Linked DNA regions of Drosophila melanogaster. The protein of the gene in region 1 interacts with the protein of each later gene in a pairwise test. Each region holds a gene or a part of one and is shown on either strand. Other genes may lie near its edges. The genes, in order: Sec24AB, CtsB, CG5386 and CG10591.

Evidence for each region.
Region 2: the proteins of Sec24AB (region 1) and CtsB interact in a two-hybrid assay, tested with the Drosophila melanogaster proteins (one large-scale study listed by BioGRID).
Region 3: the proteins of Sec24AB (region 1) and CG5386 interact in a two-hybrid assay, tested with the Drosophila melanogaster proteins (one large-scale study listed by BioGRID).
Region 4: the proteins of Sec24AB (region 1) and CG10591 interact in a two-hybrid assay, tested with the Drosophila melanogaster proteins (one large-scale study listed by BioGRID).

The regions. Positions count from the first base shown.
Region 1 is NT_033778.4:9,876,302-9,884,319, forward strand, and holds the start of Sec24AB (secretory 24AB), read right to left. Parts: upstream 6,057-8,018; 5' UTR 5,882-6,056; exon of another isoform or gene 5,095-5,881; intron 4,916-5,094; 5' UTR 4,892-4,915; coding exon 3,395-4,891; intron 3,334-3,394; coding exon 3,207-3,333; intron 3,143-3,206; coding exon 2,643-3,142; intron 2,584-2,642; coding exon 2,358-2,583; intron 2,254-2,357; coding exon 1,631-2,253; intron 1,576-1,630; coding exon 1,343-1,575; intron 1,290-1,342; coding exon 1,192-1,289; intron 1,139-1,191; coding exon 1,000-1,138; intron 937-999; coding exon 825-936; 3' UTR 1-824. Other genes in the region: CG1513 (uncharacterized protein), read right to left, coding at 7,456-7,542, 7,596-7,701, 7,784-7,905.
Region 2 is NC_004354.4:13,779,314-13,784,035, reverse strand, and holds CtsB (cathepsin B), read left to right. Parts: upstream 1-1,865; 5' UTR 1,866-2,106; coding exon 2,107-2,226; intron 2,227-2,302; coding exon 2,303-2,563; intron 2,564-2,709; coding exon 2,710-2,877; intron 2,878-3,385; coding exon 3,386-3,859; 3' UTR 3,860-4,189; downstream 4,190-4,722. Other genes in the region: amrt (amaretto), read right to left, coding at 863-1,537.
Region 3 is NT_033777.3:22,340,730-22,343,911, forward strand, and holds CG5386 (uncharacterized protein), read right to left. Parts: upstream 1,523-3,182; 5' UTR 1,486-1,522; coding exon 1,400-1,485; intron 1,309-1,399; coding exon 811-1,308; intron 742-810; coding exon 561-741; 3' UTR 507-560; downstream 1-506.
Region 4 is NT_037436.4:5,598,029-5,601,360, reverse strand, and holds CG10591 (uncharacterized protein), read left to right. Parts: upstream 1-1,668; 5' UTR 1,669-1,703; coding exon 1,704-1,740; intron 1,741-1,801; coding exon 1,802-2,703; 3' UTR 2,704-2,804; downstream 2,805-3,332.

The DNA.
Region 1 (8,018 bases):
TTTGTATATGGTTTTTCGATTAGTTAGCCCACTCAAAGAACGACAACTGCGCCACCTGAGGTACAGGGATGGGGTCTCTTTATTGATACAGTATAATATTCCTTCTAAGCTTAAGACATTCACTGCCTAGCAGTCCAATGAATGCAATACACAATACCAAATCCGTACATACGTTTGAAATAAGTTCGCTAACTACAGTGCAACAAAACGCCTTTCCTTACACTTATAAATAAATATAGATTTCTCTGGATTCCGGAAAATAAATACTACTGAAAACAGCAAACAATTGGGGTAAGCGATAACAATTTGTGGGGCTGAGAAGTTTGCAGAATGTTTGAAGCAGTTGGAACGAACAAAAATCGAGCTAAAGCATAATGTACAACAGTTTCGTTGGTTTATTGCATAGTTTCTATAATAAATAACGGAGCCATCCACTTCTTCGGGAGCTCTACTGACTGGTTAGCTGAACTTTTGACTAATGTTCGCCCTAAACGAACTGGCAACGATATCTTAGTTTCTGTTGTGACAAGTTGGCTCTTTCGCATTTACTATGATCTTCAATTATTTTATTTTATTTTTAGTGCAACAAATCAACAAATAAATAAATACATGCACTTTAAAATTACCTAAGCCGAGAGAGTGGGTAGGGGATGGGTGGTTAAGGTGTATCAAGTGTATGTCTGTCCCGAACTGGTCTCCATTGTTTCGCACCAGTGTCACCTGCATTCGCTTCGTGCTTCTAGTCACCAGAGTCTGAGTTTTTAGGTTCTTAGAAACTCGTATTTATGCTGCATACAATAGTGGTAGGATATCCTGCTTATATACTATTTAACCTGAGCCCGAATGTGTTGCAAAAATTCATAGTATGACAAACTAGATTCACTGCGATCGTCGGTTAATCTCTCGGTGAACTGGCCCTTGGCCGTGCTCGTGTCCCTTTAATTTAAGATAAAATAATTAGCAAGGTATTATGAATATTTTAATAGTGGTCCGACTTACCTAATTATCTGCACCAGCGCCGAGTAGGGCTTATCGTAGTTGAGTCGCAAAATAAAACGCTTCAGCACATCGTTCTCGTTGCTCACAACATTTGGCAATCCATATACATAATCACCCAGTTCTGCGGTGGAGCTGATGCCTGAAATTAGAAACAGATTAGTAACACAAATTGGTTGGGTTTTAAGATCATACCCAGAACAGCTTCCAAAACATCGGGCGGCACATTAAGGCCGACATAGATCATTATCAGCGTTCCGCAGTCCATCAGAAATATTGACCGAGAGTCCAAGCTGAAGTTAAAGCGTTCGTTATCGAAGGTCAAAAATAAATCAACTCTACTCACTGTTCCGCGGACAATTGAAGACGCGGCAGCTCCGGCAACGGTTCATCCTCGTCCTCGTCGTCATCCTGGTTCGAACTAATGTTCGAGTTGCGGGCGTGGTAGATCAACGCATCGATCTTGTACAGCTCCGGGTACACGTACTTCATTAGCTGGTCCAGCGGTAGCGTTTTCATGCAATCCATGGCGTAGACCCGATCATCCAGTCGTGTGCTAGTTCCCACACGGAAAGCGGGCTAGTGGAAAACCGAAATAAGCTGTGATAACTAAGATCATATGCAAAAAACTCACGTGCTTAAGCAGGGCCAAGATGTAGAGCGGGAGCAACGCCAGGCTGCGCGGCGCTATCAGCTGACCCGACTGTCCCGATGGCAGATTTTGTGCTATCTTGAAGGCATTGTACACGTCGATCGTAGCGTTTATGAATGCATCGCGGGCGTCCGACAAGTTGGAGGCGACCGACCGGTCAACCGCCATTTTCGACAGCAGCCCGATAATAGCTTCCGTGTCGGCTGAATGCATTACCTCTGGGAGCGAAGCGGTAACCGGCAAACACACGGTGTGCACACGGATTCGGCGCTCTCCTTCGCTGTTCGTATAGAGCAGCGCAGCTTGGAAGCAAATCGTTTTCGCGTCCGTGAGGCTCTCCTCGTAGGAGATCTGCATGCCATATCCAGCATCCGGATTCACGTTTGGCAACGAGAGCAGGTCCGTGGAGCGCACGAAGAAGTTTCCATGGAATGTATGCACCTGCAAGCCACGAGTGCAGCGGATTCGCATTACCGCCTCAAATCCAATTTTCCTGGTAAGATAGCGCTTGAAACACGAGCGGAACGATTCTACCATGTGTGGCTTTGTCTTCTGGTAGAGCGGGAAGTGGTGTACACAGCCGCCGCTATGTTTGCTAATGCCAGCTATAGGGAAATTGAAACTCCAATAAGTTAACGGTGCTCTATTACTCGTAAGAGAACTTAATGCAAAAAGGCAGTTTGAATTTACATTACTAAGAGTCACTTACAAATGGTTGCCATGTCGCTGTACTGCTGGTTCATCAGGAAGAGGTCACAAGCTATTTGATAGCCGGAGCACTCTAGGGCAAAGCGCTTGTAGAAGTCGGTTGCCGGGTTAAGGTGGGCCACGTCCTTTGCCGAGCGGTTGTTGGGATCTTCGCGCGGCTCCAAGGCTCCGGGTCCCTTGTTGGGAAGGCACGATTGAAAGACGGTTATCCGTCCGCCGGACGCTTGCTGTATACAGTATTCACGATGATTAAGGTTCCTCTTTAATTTTGAATAGCTCAACTCACCATTAGCTTGAAAGCAACCTGCAGAGCAGCACCCAAGGCGGAACCCGGATCGTGGGTGTGGGCAAACCGCTTAGGCAGTTGCTTTAATAGATCACGCACCAGTTCCTTGCACTCCTTTAGGTTTACCAGCAAACTATCAGGACGTGGCAGGAAGGGGTCCTCGATGTCCAGCAGCGTCATTTCGTGCGGCTGGTTGAGCCCCTCGGCCATGCTGTAGAAGTGCACGAAGCTGTCGAAGCAAATGAATCCCACCTGGGTCCTCGCATCACCGGGCATCTCGTCTAAGTGCCGGTTGAGTACGGCGCATGCGGCCTCCAGATAACCACTCTGCTGCGCGATTATCGAGACATCGAAGAGAAACAGGTACATGGCCGGCTGTGGCGGCCGCAACATGTACTCCGAAGGAGCAATAAACTCTATGGTGCTAGAGCGTACCTCGGGCCTTCGGGTTACGTCGCCGTATGTCTTTGTGGCCGGATCAAATTGAAAGTCATCTGGCACTGCACGAAGAAAGAAACATTGGATTACTAAATCCATTATATGCTGGGAACTCTTTTCAATTACATTCGTTGACTCGATAACACAGATTGCACTTCCACATCTTGCTGTCCACGAAGTAAACGAAGGGATTTATGTAAGTGCGGCACAGCCGGCAACGCACAATGTTGATGCACTGAATAACAGGGAGGCTCTGTGTGAGGAATTCCAAGTTAAAGTCTTTTATATCAAATTATTTTCAATAAAATTCTTACATTGACATCACGGAAGGGATGTATCACAATGCCCAGAGGCAGACGTGACTTCTGGAGCAGAGAGTTGCTCTCGGGAATCTTGGTCAGCGTACAGCGCATAATGCTCGGGCTACAGTTTATGGACTCGTGAAACTGGTTGTGCAAAACCACTTTTGGCGGAGGCAACGTTGCCGGCGTTAAGATATGCCGATTCTGCATAAGGTCGATAGTATCCTGTCCCCACAATCTGCTGAATCCCTGCTGAGCCACGTTTAGTGGAGCAGTGGTTCCATAAGGTCCCCCGGGTGCAGTCTGGGGTGCTTGCTGAGGATGTTGTCCGTAAGCCTGAGGAGGCGCCTGTGCCTGATACTGCAGTGGAGCTCCAGTCGGTTGCGTTCCGAACATTCCCGGCGGCGGTGGCTGCACTGCAGACTGAGGAGGTGGTGGCTGTTGCTGTGGTCCTGGTTGATAAACCTGGGAGTATGGATACGTCTGTGGTGTCTGCTGGGCTGGCGGCATCATGGGCTGGGCTCCCGGCGCCGCTACATTTGGTAAGCTCGGCGGCCATACCGCTCCTACTCTTGGTGGCGGCGGTGCATTCTGTAGATTGTTGTTTTGCTGGCTCTGCTGCTCGGGGTTAGTTGGTGGGGGTACTCCGTATGGGATTCGTTGCCCCGCTGGTGTTGGTCTACCGGCCATCGAGGCGCTTCCGAACATTTTGGCCGGATTTGGAGCCAAATTGGGGGGCTTTTGTCCACTAAACGGCGTCGCCATGGCATTGGGAACTAGTGCAGCGGCCACTCCGCTGGCCGCCAACAGACTGTTGGCGTCGTTGAACTGCGGTGGACCCGTCTGGGCCGAGGCCACTCCCCTGCCATCCTTTTGTGTTACTGTGGGTGCGTACTGTTGCTGGGTTTGGGGTTGTGGCAAAATGCTGGTACCTCCATTTGCTCGAGTGGTATTCAAGTTAAGATTTTCCAGATTGCTCGTCAAGTTGGCCAGAGATTGGTGCGTCGGTTGGGGCGAAGGACGCAGTCCCGACGCCAGGGGCGGATTGTTCAACGCTGCAGCGATTGGTCCTTGAGCATATTGAGGGGCAGCTCCTACTGGCCTTGGGGATGCAGTGCGCGAAGAGTTCGCACTGGACGCCCCATTGCTGCCGTTCGTAAGGGGTGGTCCGTTGGCGGCGGGCGGACGCAGATGGGGCGGCAGCGTGCTGGGCGGCAGTTGCTGCAGAGGTGTAGCTGCTCCTGACGTGGGCGGCAAGAACTGGTTCGTAATACCACTGTTGAACTGCTGCGGCGGTGGCACATTACCTGGCGCTCCTGCTCCCGGAAAAGCTGCTGCAGGAGGTGGTTGCTGGAACTGTTGTGGCTGCTTCTGTGGTATATACTGCTGACCAGGTGGAGGACCTGGCTGCTGCTGGACGCTTCCTTGCACACCATTCACAAAATTGTTTCCGTTCAGTGGCATAGGGGCGTGGGCGGGAGGCACGAAGTTCGGATTGTAAGTCGACATGCTGCTAATTCATAGGTTTGTGGTCTGAAAGATGAAGAATTACATTTTGTTTAGTTGCTATCTTATCACTAGCGAAGGTTGCGTTGCTGCCGACATGAAACAGGGAATTATCTTATCGTTCAATGTTAAAAAGCGCGTAACATGAAACAATGTGCGGCTGATAAAAGTTGTAAAGTTTTAAAGCGGGATGCTTTTCCCCGCTTACAGACAGTTTAGAATTTGCAGTGATCGAATGGAATGCGAAATTCTGCGTTATTGGAGCTTTATCACAAACTTTTAAGCTAGACTGGCTGCCTAGGTAAATGTCTTGATTCAGTGTTTACAGAACTGTGTCTACGTCAACAGTAAGTCGGAAATAGGGTGATAATTTCATATCATATTTTGCTGTTTAAACAGCTTCGACAGCAGGTCGTTATGGGTTATTATGTGATGTACAACGTGTAAGTGTGCGTGCCTCAAGCACTTGACCTCGCCATCAATGATCGCAGAAGGTGGGTCGGTTAAATTGGTGACCCAGATGCAGTGGAAGCAATCAGGAAGAGAAAGGATTTGTCTCCGGAACAAAGCAAATTTTTGATGACGTGCCTATTGGCGAAGTCAACCCGCCACGCCCACCACCCACTCAAAGAAATTGGGGCAATCAAGGCATATGTAGTGCCCATAACACGGTTACCAATCACTTATCACCTTCCCGAGCTTCAGTTTTCATTGGCATGAAGTTCCTCGGCCAGCACTTGCACTTTGTAGTTGCCTCTTCTTCTTGCGCCCTTGATTGGCGATTTTGCTGCGGACTATGAATTAGCTTTTCCGCCTTTCGTTGTGAGGAAAGGGCGGATGCAGCTGTAAAAACCACTGGTTGTACTCTTTGTTCTGGTCTTTTGTGAAATCCTTGGCTGGATTTTTCTCCGCGAACGAAAATTAAACGATTTTCGCACTTCCCTACGCTCTCTCCACTCCCAAAACTTCCTTCCGCACTAGTTTCTTTCTTACACGATTTCAAGCGCTCCTCGCGTGCTCCGGATGGATGCGAACACGTCCTATATTGGCAGGCGGATTCTTTGGACTTGGCGTCGTACGCTGCTATGCACAATTAACTTAAATGCAAACTTTTTGCATTTTCCGGAGAACAAAAAATTTTGAGGCCACGTCAATAGTGTGACCGTTGGTTTTAAAAAAGAGATGACAGTGCTCTGGGTCGCCTATCGATTGCAAATAAAATGTTATCGATACCAATGGTAACATTATTTTTGTAACAATTCAAATTTAAAACTTAACGCAATGTTTATTAAGTGAAGACAAGCAATGTATATTATATATAACTCTGTTAATGATATGAGCTTAAATGTTCGTAAGCCCGAAATCCAAAATCCATTAAAACTGCTTAAAGAACAAATCGCTTTATTTGCAATATTTGTATCTGCTTGGGAGTAGCTCAATTTCTCAATTAACACGTTGGTTAAAAAGAAAATCGCAAAAATATATACAAGTTTCCCCGGGCTTGGATATAAGTTCCAATTAATGCCATTGGGATTACAATTCTTTTATTCTACGGGGTAACTAGTTCGTTAAATATTACTTTAAATCAATTTCGAAGCGTATTTACTTTATTCGTTTCATTTTGCGTTAACTTTGCGTGAGAGTAGTCGGTAGATTTGCTGTGTGGGTGGTGTTGCTTCCTGGCTCGTAAGTTATAAAGTTATAAATTAAATTTAATGTCTATTATTCAACGTGTCTAGGAGTTCGGTTTTCAATTGGGTTCTATTGCAGTAAGGTGTAAAGGTGTGTCACCAGCGGACTCTTGGTAAAGCTTTATTGTTATTATTGTGACAAGTGGAATTCGAAACATAATACTAAAGGTAATCGTATTTGATTTATAAGCTATGCGACTGGAAAATCATTGTGCACCGTGTGTTCTATGTCCGTGTGTCTGTCCTGTGGTCTTGGAAAGAAGCGAGGGTGCAGTATCTGTCGGATACTAGCGTGTCGGTATTGTATTTCGTCTATAGCAGAGTCTTTTATTTCAAAAATAGAATCTCTATTATCCTTAAGTAACTATCATTTTGTAATCTACAACTTTTGATATATCCCATTATGTATTGGATTTCTTTCTTTGTTGCTAGTTAGTAAATGTTAGTAATGTAAAAGGTATTGAATAGGTGTCATTGTGTTGCAGTTTACTGCGATTGCCTTTGAAACACACTAGTACTTAGTAGTAAATAATAATCGTTAATTCTGTATAGAAACTGTGAGTGTTTGATTTTTCTGTCTCCGCTGAGCTGTCGAGCTTGACTCGCGTTCCAACCTAATGAGCAGAGCTTTACTCCTTTCTTTTTCTCTGTGTATATTATTTACAATTAATAACCAGACCCTGGAGCCTCCATCATGGATCTCCTTCTGCCAGTTCAGTTGTTGCTCTAACTTTTCCTGCATTCGTTACGTTGTATCGTCAGTGTTGAGAGGTTTGCGCACTTGTGGAATTAAACATATAGTTGAGGCTCGTTCTTGATATGATCCATATATATAGACGTTTTTGGTGTTGTTGCTCTCGTTGTCAGTCGGAGGCATTATCTCTTGGCCTCCTTCTCCTGCAGATACATGCGCTGACTCAGCGGCTTGGCGTAGATCCAGTTGTCGCCCACGGGCTTAAAGTGCTGTGAACGAATATTATCTGTTAACTGTTTTACCCTATATCGGGATGACGTACCTTGTGCTCCCAGGCCAGATCGTATTCCTTGCGCACCTTGGCTTGATCACGCTGCTGTTGCTCCACAACGAATTTGGCAGTTGTAGCGCGCTCGATGTCATTGAACCTGTGGAAGAGCAACGAACAAAGAGATTACATTTATCATGACTCGCAATTGGGGGTCAGGAATTAATTGGTATGCTGTTTACTTGAGTCCCGCTGTCACTTCCTTCCAAACGCGTCGCGATTCGTACTCATCCTGCTCAACGATTGGTCGAACTTGTTTCTTAAATATGGGTATGCGATTTACGTCGACGAATACTTCGGTTTTCTAGAAAATTCAAGAGATTCATTCAGATTCACTATGTGGTCAACTGATTGGGATTGGGTGTAATATTAAACACACAGCAATCATATATAAGTACAGATAGCAACAATTTGAAT
Region 2 (4,722 bases), on another chromosome or scaffold:
CCATGGAATTTGCACACACGACTTTGTGTTTACGTTCTTGTGCCGCGATTTAAGTACTGTTATAACTTTTGCCTGTCATCACTAGTTTGCTTTTTTTGTCTTGTTTATTTTTGTGTATTTTGCATAAATTCCCGGCTAACAATTATATATTTTCGTTTGTTTTATTTATGCACCGCGCAGTGCTTATTGTTGTTGCCGTTTCTTGCGGGAGAGATGCGACGCGCACGCAGCGTCGTCAATGGAGAAAAATAAAAGAGAAAGCGCCCGCTCAGCTCAGCCAGTCTCCGTTGACCGCGCGGTTGGCGAGCTTTCTTGCAACTGACTTTCGAGTTTGAACGCGAAACTTTCGATTTCCATTTCCCGATGGCGAAGGACGATAGCCATCATACGATAACGATAGCCCAATGGAAAGCAGCTGTCGGAAATGCAATGGATCCACTGAACAAATTTTGGAACAGCTGTGGCGCTACATTCGAATTGAACAAAATATACTTTAAAATTAAAAATAAAAACGATTGTGCAAAGTCAAAACGTCCCTTTTGATGCTATGCGGGCATTTTTGCACGGATCAAAGCTGTAGTTTTGGTGTAAGCTAAAAAAACAATTGGTTTAAGAGGCAGTCATTTGATTGTCTTAGGCATATAAAAACTATTTAACTGTACTTCTAAATATTTATTTATCCTTACTTTACATCTAATAGATATGTATGAAATTATTAATTTCAATGATTTTATAACAAAGGTATTTATAATGAAATAAGGGGCAAGTTAATTTAATTTCCTAACACTACGAATTAATCAGTGAACAAGATTAATCTTATTTAACTACTTAAAGCTATGACACAGAGGCATATCACACACGTCTAGACATAGGGATTCCAATTGCTGCCGTCCTCGGGCAGCAAATTGTTGGTGATCAGGAGGATGACGTCGATGATCCACCAAACGCCCACGCCGCCCATGGTAAGCAGTTTGCCCACAGCCGTGCCCGTTTGACCGAGACAGAAGCGATCCATACCGAGGAAACCCAGCAGCATGCTGTAGATCAGTGTGGTCACAAAGTAGTGATCCGTGTAGCGGACACAGGGCACTCCGGCGCGCAGAAAGGTGCGATTACCGTAGCACTCGATGTCGGCAAACACGGTGCACCAGACCATGGCGTGCTCCACCTCTTCGTACGTGGAACCACCGAACTTCAGGCATCCGTATTTCTTTTCCTGCTGCGCCGTGGCGTTCTCCCGATGATCGACGGGATCCTTGCAATCGAGAAAGTCGCGCGGCAGAAACGAGCACATCACATTCGGTCCCAGTGGATAGAAGGCCGAGTTTCCAGCTCCGCCCGAGGCGGAAGATGCCGAAGATGACGATGAGGAGGGTCCCATGCCGGAGCCCAGTTGCGCCTGAACGGGCACCACCGATTGCACCGCCGTGCCGGAGACCACAGTCTGCGGCTGCTCCTTGTCGCTGCGTGCCTGTATCGCTTGGGCATCGTGTTGTCTGGCCACCAGGAACGCCAGTAGTCCGTAGAAAATCCGCATCTTTGCGAGCTCCTTATCAAAATATAGCTAGCCAGTGTGGCCACACCTTAGCACAGCTAACAGAGCTCTGTTATCTGCGATGGCCTACCGATAGTTCTGATTTTAAGCACCACGACAACGAATGGAAATAAATAAATGCAAATAAACCACCTTTCAAGTAACAGTGCTCCTTAGCATATTTATTGGCATTAGTGTGATCGTAGTCTTTAGTTAAGTACATTTAGTGAAGTGCTATTTAGTATAATGCGTTTATTTATTTCAGACTAGTTACCAATCACGCGCCCATCTCTACATTCGATAGGCAACGGCCCTGTTGCATTGGTGTGCACACACTGGCCGCGTAATCAGCGGGCGCGAACCATTTTTTTTTTTTTTTGTGCGACAGAACAAAAACAAGAGAATAATAGACGCTTAAAGAGCATTACCCGTCCGAATTTCACGGGCAGTACGAAAACAAGAACGGAGCAGAGAGCCCGCTTAATACGACGCGTCATTTTCCACCATTTTACTGCTGTGATTTGTTTGAATTTTGCTGTGTCAGCGCATTGGAAATTCGTTGGACAAGAATAATGAATCTATTGCTCCTGGTGGCCACCGCGGCCTCCGTGGCGGCACTCACGTCCGGTGAGCCGTCACTGCTCTCGGATGAGTTCATCGAGGTGGTGCGCAGTAAGGCCAAAACCTGGACGGTAAATTCCTTTGTTTCCAACCCTTTTCTTGCTGACGTGACAAGAAAATTGCATTTTCCCGTTTCCTATCCGCCAGGTGGGTCGCAATTTCGATGCATCCGTAACGGAGGGACATATTCGCCGCCTGATGGGCGTCCATCCGGATGCGCACAAGTTCGCACTGCCCGACAAGCGTGAAGTTCTTGGCGATCTATACGTGAATAGCGTTGACGAACTTCCCGAAGAGTTCGATTCCCGCAAGCAATGGCCAAACTGCCCAACCATTGGCGAGATTCGCGACCAGGGTTCATGCGGCTCCTGCTGGGCCTTTGGTGCCGTGGAAGCCATGTCCGATCGCGTACGTAGCTTACCTTATCGATATTATAACCCCTTCCATTCTTTGTTTGTCCAGCTGATAAATTTCCCCATTTTTTTTTATTATTATTTTCTTTTTGTATTTGTTATCAATGATTTTTTTTTTTTTACTGATTTCGCAATGGGCAGGTGTGCATCCATTCCGGCGGCAAGGTGAATTTCCACTTTTCGGCCGATGATCTCGTCTCCTGCTGCCACACCTGCGGATTTGGCTGCAATGGCGGTTTCCCCGGCGCCGCCTGGAGCTACTGGACGCGCAAGGGAATCGTCAGCGGAGGACCCTACGGATCTAATCAGGTTGGTGATCTTCTCCTGCTTTAATGGGATTTTGCAAATCATATTTAGTTTGGTTTAAAAGGGCTTGCAATTTGGTTTTGCTTGCAGATGAGTTTCCAATAAAAAAAAGGGTTTGTTTTCTAACGAAGAAAAACATACTTTATGTGCAAAAATAACCTGTATTTGTACATATTGTATTTCTACGCCGAAATAGTTAGAAAGCAACTTGATTTTGTTCTTTGTTTACTTGAAGTGAACTGAAGACTCAGTTTACGACGCCATAAAAAATTGTATACCACAGATATCGCTAGAAAGCGGCTTAGTATATCATATACAAACATCCATATACACAAAGCTATATGTATATATATCATATACGAACATCTATAGATATACATGCATATATTGTGAATGCACTCCAGATTCGCGTACATCCTCAACGATAAGTTTTAGCTGCTACTAACTCATTTCCCAGATATAGTAAGGCAAACAGAAGAAAAAACGATTCTAATATGCACTTATTTTGCAGGGCTGCCGTCCTTACGAGATTTCTCCCTGTGAGCACCATGTGAATGGAACCCGACCACCATGTGCCCATGGCGGTAGAACGCCCAAGTGTTCGCACGTCTGCCAGAGCGGTTACACCGTCGATTATGCCAAGGACAAGCACTTCGGCTCCAAGTCGTACTCGGTGAGGCGTAATGTGCGTGAAATTCAGGAGGAGATCATGACCAATGGACCGGTTGAGGGCGCCTTCACCGTTTATGAGGATCTCATTCTGTACAAGGACGGTGTCTATCAGCACGAGCATGGCAAGGAGCTGGGCGGTCATGCCATTCGCATTTTGGGCTGGGGCGTTTGGGGCGAGGAGAAGATTCCGTACTGGCTAATTGGTAACTCGTGGAACACCGATTGGGGCGATCATGGTTTCTTCCGCATCCTGCGTGGCCAGGATCATTGCGGCATCGAGAGCTCCATTTCGGCGGGTCTGCCCAAGCTGTAAATGTTATATGTATTCCGGCATCAAGCTGATATATCAAAACCCCTCTATTTTCTATCATCCCTCCTTTTATTTTCATTCCGATTCGCAACTGACGTTTGTAGTTAATGTAAACAACCTAAACCTGATTGATAATAAAGTATTGTATATGACTGTGGAACTGTACTTTGCTCGTATACAGTGGGACCTCTCTAACTAGAAACAAGGCAAACAAAAAAAAGAAAATGATTATCAAACTGGAACTCAGATATAATTAAAAGCGAATAATACTATTTGTGAAACAATGCTATAACTATCCAACTATAAACTATTGTTTAGCGTAGCTATGCCTTTTTTATTTAATAGTAGAGATTAATAGTAGAGAGTATCTGATCCTCTATACTATGTACACACATTTAAATGGAACGCCGTCAATCGTTCAATCGTTAAACTGGCTAGCTGTATGTTTTGCGAGTTATAAATGTGATTAGCATCGCATTTGATTAATCAAACAAAGAGTACAGCTTGCAATCGCATTCGTCATTTGGTGCGATTTTGTTGAGTTAATTTATTATTACATTAGTTAGCTTGGCCATACATACATACATACATACATATATGTACATACATATGTAAAACTTATCTCGTTGAAGCTGCCCACAATTTGCAGCACCAAATGTCCATTCAAATTGTACACATATTTATTCACATAACATGTTTTATTTATTTTTCTCATTTGCAACATCAAATAGAACATTTGTTTTGTATTTTCAGTTTTTTTTTTGTTATCTTGTCATGAACCAACCGCTTCTCTTATCGATTTTCTGTGAATTGATTGACTGGTTTTGTAGCCACTCTTCTATTCACCGAAACTCGATATTTTTCTA
Region 3 (3,182 bases), on another chromosome or scaffold:
CACAGACGCCCCACAATTTGCGAGTCGCACTCAACGTGAAGTGTTTTGTGCGGTTTTTTCGTGTTGCATGTTTTATATTCGTACACATATATTTTTAGAAATTGTTTTTAGTTGAATGTTTTACTTTTATGCTGAGTTCGGTGACAGCTCGAAACGAGTCCTGGTGGGCGGAGGTCCTGCTAGGCCGGAGCAGGCACGCTGACAAATAAGTCTCATACGTATTGTTCGAGTTCTTTCTGGGCTTTGGGAGATTGGAAGCCAAATCTGGTTACGGATTAGAAAAAAAAATTCTAGAAAAATCTAGAATCTGTTACATCTGTTTATTCAAGGTTATTCAAAATCCTCGAATTTAATAAAGATATTTTCAAAAAAGCCAGTTCACTTTTTTTGCAGTAACTGACACAGCTGCTGCTCTCACATGAATGAATATTGAGTACACACACACACATGTGCACGGCAACCAATACACCCATGCGATCGGCCGCCCCAAAAGTATGCAACACTTTGCCCGACTCTCTATGCGCATCTTTATTAATTATGCCAGCGATTTAATTAAAAACTTAACCAGCTGTCGCCTTGAGCGCCGCAGCACTGAGCAAGGGGATCGTCTCCTGGCCACCCGAAGGAGGCGGACATAGCGCGGGGGGCGTGGCTTTGGGGCTGGCAGGAGCGGCAACTTCCGACGGATTCCTGCCGAGTTGGCAACTTGCTGGCGCTGCAGTTGCCGCAGATGGGTATGGGCTAATTAAAATGCATTGTTTAATGCAAATAATGGATTATATAAGTTGGTAGTTTTCAGTGTTTACTTACGGCGGGTGGCTCTCGACTCGTGGCGCCCAAACGGCTGCAGCTGCGGCTGGCGGCGCCTTAACGACTTTTGGCCCGACTCCTCCATATTGTTGTGCCGTCTGAATTGGCTTTGGCTGGAGACGCAGTTGCTGGCCTGGTTGTTCAGGTTGCACATTGACGCCATTGAACCCGGCCAATATTTGAGGTGGTTGACCCGCGGCGTTTTCATAAACAAAAAAGTGTTGCCCCTGTTCCTGTTGCGGTTGATTTGTGGCCTGTTGTTGCTGCCATTTTGGTTGCTGTTGTTGGTAGTGTTGCTGCTGCTGCTGCCGTGGCTGCTGATGTTTCTGCTGCTGCTGTGGCTGCTGCCAATTTGGCACAGTTTGGCCCAGTAACTCGTGCAACAATGGCGCCAACGCTTCGCTGCCCGTGATTTGTTGCAGATGCTGCTGGAGCGCGGCTTCCTCAATCTTCTGTCCCTCCGCCCGATTGATGCTCAGGATGCCGGTGTTGTGGTGCCTGTAAGCAAATAGTTTGCTCAATAGATTGACCCGCTAACCACCACCCACACACTGGGCGAGATTCATTCCAGCACATTCACACGACCTACTTTGTCAGCGGCTGTGCAAATGTTTGCGAAACAACTCCCAAACAAACCAGCGGCAAGTGGAGCAGAACGAGCCAATTTGGATACATATTTAAAGACTTATTAGTGCCAGAGACCTTCCACTCGAAACTCTCGGTGAGAACTAACTCCGGCTAACTAACTTCACACATCAAATATTCTCCGATGCCATGGATTCTAATTGGGAGATGCTTGCTTTTGCCTAGGCATTCGATTAGGTTTCTTGTTTTCGGGCATTAATTATTTCGAAGCTAATTATACATGCACATTAATATGCAAATATTATGAAGTGTGAACATTTTGATGTGCCCCATTGGTTTCGGTATGATAATTACCAGTTCGGCTTTACAGATCCAACTGGAGGCCCGACAGCGGTTCTCGATTGAGTGGATCTCAATTAGCCGGCTACAAAAAATATGACTAGCTAATTGGCTTAATCAAATAGTAAAAATAAGCTAATAGAAACTAAATAGTAACGTTATACCTCTCTTAAATTGATTAGAATACATTTATTCATCTAAATAGTTTACTTCTTATTGGTAAAGTTTAATATTTTAGCTTTAATAAGAAATATGTTTTTTATAATAAGCTGCCTTTCAGCTGCTGTAAATGCCTCCATAAGTTATATGATTATGTGCTTTCAACAAAAAGGGCTCTTAAACTCAAATCCATAAAACTACGCTTCTCAAACTGTTGCATTAACATACGAGCCATTTCAAAGAGGTGGCCATAAATCCAAGCTAAAATGTCAACCGTCTGGCAGTGACTGTCAAACTGTAAAGTGGCCCTTGGCTTCAGCTCCCATTTTCCGCTCTCCGTGGATGTGTGGCAAAATGTTTTTCCATTAAATTACAATTCCCCTTCTCGGAAAATACCCCCTCCCCTCTACCCCCTCATCATCGGCGGCCTTCGTCGACCAGCAAAGTCATGAAATTTAGTGTTGGCGGCATAATTAGACCATCAATTGCGGAAAACTCATGACAGTCATGAATGGCCGACTGTGTGCATGTGCCTGTGTTGGTGGGCCAAAACCACATGGGCGGGGGGCGTGGCCAGGGGCCTAGGCACACTCTGGAATAAAGTAATATGTGCTCCAAGCATAAACTCATCAGAGTCGGAAAAGCTGACAGAGATGAGAGGACGGCAACAGCAACAAGAGCAGCGCCAACATTACACAGTAAAAAGCAACTTAATTAAAATATCAGTTGAACATCATAATAAACAAGATAGTTTCTATCGAAATATTTGATATATTAAAACCTAAGTAGATGATCAAATGCGAGTTCATAGAATAGAGTAGTAGTATAAACTATTACATACAATTTGAATATTTATTCCAGTGAAGCAATGGCAGCCACAAAGGGCGGCCTGAATTTCAACGATGGACGGGACTGTTGCACACAGAGGCAACAACAACTGGCTGGACTTCAGCAACGATGGCCACAATAAAGTCGGAATGTAAAGCACAAATGCTACTTTGGTTGCTCATAAATATTCACTGGAATGTATTCGTCCTCCTCCGCATTTAGCCGTTGTCCTTGTGGCTTCGCTTTCATTTTCCACCGCTTTTCGGCCGAAAGGCGCAAAAGTGTGAAATGGCCGAGTACGAGAGTGTTCATATATATATATATTTTCTATTTTTATGACGATTTTTCGGTGACTGTTTTAGCCAGCCGAGTGTGAAAGTTAAGCACATAAATTACAGGCGAGCGCCGCCATAGGAATTAAAAGCACCGTGCACAGTGGCCGAAAAACCAGAAAACACTTA
Region 4 (3,332 bases), on another chromosome or scaffold:
TTAAATTACTAAGAAGCTTGCTTACACAAAATATTTGATATATTTCCGAAGATAACTTTTATGTCATATATGTGCGTATGTTACGTTGCATACGGTGTACATCGAGTATTTTATTTGAATTGTTTGCCTAGAAAACTTATCAATCTATGCAACTGCAACAAAATGTGACTTGAACTTGTTTGCGCCAATTAAGTTATGTACGATGCAAGAAATGTGCTGATTAGCAATAGTCGATAATCTAATAATAAATTCAATATATAAAACCAAAAAAAAAGTTTATGACAGTATAAGCCCCCTTCATCTTGGCCATTATCAGCGAACACACAGATCGTTTCACTTTTACTATTTTTGATTCACTCGGTAACATTGACCCTCAAATTGTTTTCCAATTACTGGGAGGCAAACAACTTCAACGGTCTTATCATCCCATTTATTAGGGGGCCAATTCTGGCACTTCCATTCGTTTTCTTTTCGTTTGGGAGCACAGGATGGATGGAGTACTTTGGGGTTATTCCATGACAACACCATTGATAAAGCCTTTCGGATTCTTGTCGTTAACTGATGATGTTCGATTTGTCTCAAGTAACTGAACTATGTTTATATTACGTATACGACCAATCACTGCAGTGTTTACACACAGTGTGTCTTATACCCTAAAATGTTTGGTGAGCTTTCCAGAATCAACTATATGAATAAATGACTTAAGTTGTTTCAAATACAAGCAACTTTCAAAAATATTATCAGTATAAGTACTGAATAATTTTCCTTCAGCACTAAGTACGTTTTAATTCAAAGTTTCGGAAGTTTGGTAAGATAACCTATGGACATACCTTTGAGATTAGCAGTTTCTAGTAAACAACTATTTTGAAGTGTATCGAATGGTTTCAACTGCTGCCACAAGCCACCCTTCATCCGGATTTACTTCTCTGCTTATCGGGACTTTCAAGAGGCCCAGTGTCATCATAGTTCCAGGGAACGGCGCTAGTTTGGAAGTGAACACCTACGGAGTGGGCACTCGTCCACTAATGACGCGTGTTTTCGGTGGGCTTTGTCTCGTCAATGGAATTCTGTGATAAGTCGGAAATGTTACAGAGCCTTTTCATTTCTAGCCGTGGTAGTGTGGTAACTGATTGGAAACATATTGATTTCGTAATTTATGCTAATTCTGGGCAGTGGAAACTGTAAAGGCGCTTGGGATAATCCCTGAAGAGTTTCCGTTTTGATGAAAAGGCAATTCAAAAATCTGGGTGTCACTTTGATGGGTATCGCCCACATTTGGTCACATAAACTCTACAATCTGATCACTGTTTATGACCTGATAGACAGTTGATGTATTTTTGAAGTTGTCCCGCTGATTGCGGCTGGCTGGCCAAGAATCAAACCGAGAACCCTGCTGACCCAGTTTAAAGGCTTGTCGTCGGGCCTAATGATGTTCGTGTATATTTTGTTGCATAAATTATCATAATTGTCACTGCGCCGACTGGGTGATGGCATTTTTCCTTTTGATCGCTTAGCATTTCCCTTTCGATGGTGGGTTAAGAACAGTTATAGAGATGCGGGAAATGTGTTTTCTGTTCGATCTAGAGATTATTTTGTATATTTTCTATGCATATTAAAACGTAGCTCTCGAGTTTTTCAGCTTATAAAAGCCGAATTCGAATTTTGGATCTCAGTCCGATCTGAAGAGAAATCCGAAGTACATCATGAGTTTTTTGGGACTCTTGGCTTTTCTGGTTGCTGGTAAGTTTATAAAACATTTATAAATTTTTCTACAATATTACAATACCATATATTCCATCAGGTCTTTGCTCCACCGCCCAGGCTTCGTTGGTGAAATGCTCTTGTGATCCTGGTCCACAGGGGGAACGAGGACCTCCAGGTCCGCCTGGACCTCCTGGCAATCAGAACGGTCTCTCTGGCAGTGGTTCTGGCTACTGGGGCTATCCACCCACAGGTCCTTACCCCCCAAATCTGCCTTTCATCCAGGGGCCTAGAGGCTTACCAGGACCGCCTGGTCCTCCTGGATATTGTTTCCCATGCCCAGCTCCTCCACCTTTGAGATCCTTTCCGCCACCGGGAGTTCCAGTCCCTCCTTTCATTTCCACCCCAGGTGGTGGCGGATTTGGTGGAGCCTCTGCATTGACCACCGCTGTGGGCAACATTATAGTGATTCCAGGAGGACCAGGAACGGGATTAGCTGGTCGCGCTCAGTTCTTCCACATTTCACCCGATGGCCAGGTGGTGCAGATCGATCGACCGCAGAATCTGCCCAGTGAACTGTTCGATACACCGGTGAACCAAGGTTCCGGTGCTCCCATTCCTCCACCGCAACCCACATCGTCATCTCTCTCGGGGATCACACCACCAGCAGTCCAAGTGCCACCAACTCAACCCACGCCCGGCGATCTGGGAGCCCAGCAGCCCACAATTTTGCCCGAGAATATGGAGGAAACTGTGTTTGCGGTTGGCAATCGCAAGGACTTCCTGCGAGGTAGCTCCGATGCCAGCGATTGGAGAAGGATTCTCCTCCTGGGAGAGCGACCCACCGATGGTCTACTCAAGGGCCAGTCCGTCCAGCAGCTCAGTCCCAACCAGCTCGAGAGCAGCGTGGAGAACTTCCAGAGGGCTTTGGTCGAACTGAAGGAGAAGTATGCCACGCTCATCCAACCGCGTAACTCAAACCAATATGCAGTCATCATTTGAAGGGAAAACTTAAGATTAAATTTAGTTTAATAATTTAATAAAAACTGTACTGATAATGTCTAAAAAGAATATAAATGACCATTTGATATGGAAGTAGAGGTATTAAGATGTCTCTTTTATGTCTTTCATCTATAGATCTTTTAGTTGTCTGACTTGTTATGTAGAGCTGGCACTTGTGTTATTCGTTCAAGCTTCGTCAACAAAGTACGATATCATTTCTTGGTATTTATAAGATAAATACGGATAAAAATAGAAATACCTATTCGAGGGTAATCCCCCAAAGAATTATGAATTACAATTGTCAACAGTCAATCTGCGTTAAATACGTGAGATTCACAAGAAAAATTCAATCGTCATAACATTGCGATGCCTATTAAATTTTTTTATAAGCATAATAGGCGTGAGTACTTAACGCTTTTTAAGTCTATCAAAACATTTTGAAAATCAATAACGATAATAGGAATTAAAGGTATCAATCCAATCGATTTGATTGGAATCAAGTTTAATTTGCTACAAATGATTTTAATTTAGTTGCAGTCATAACACAGTTAATCAATTTTTGATAGACTTAAATTAAATTTAACTTGTCATTGGTATTGTAAAAATAAAATTCCTTCGAAGCGGTGGGT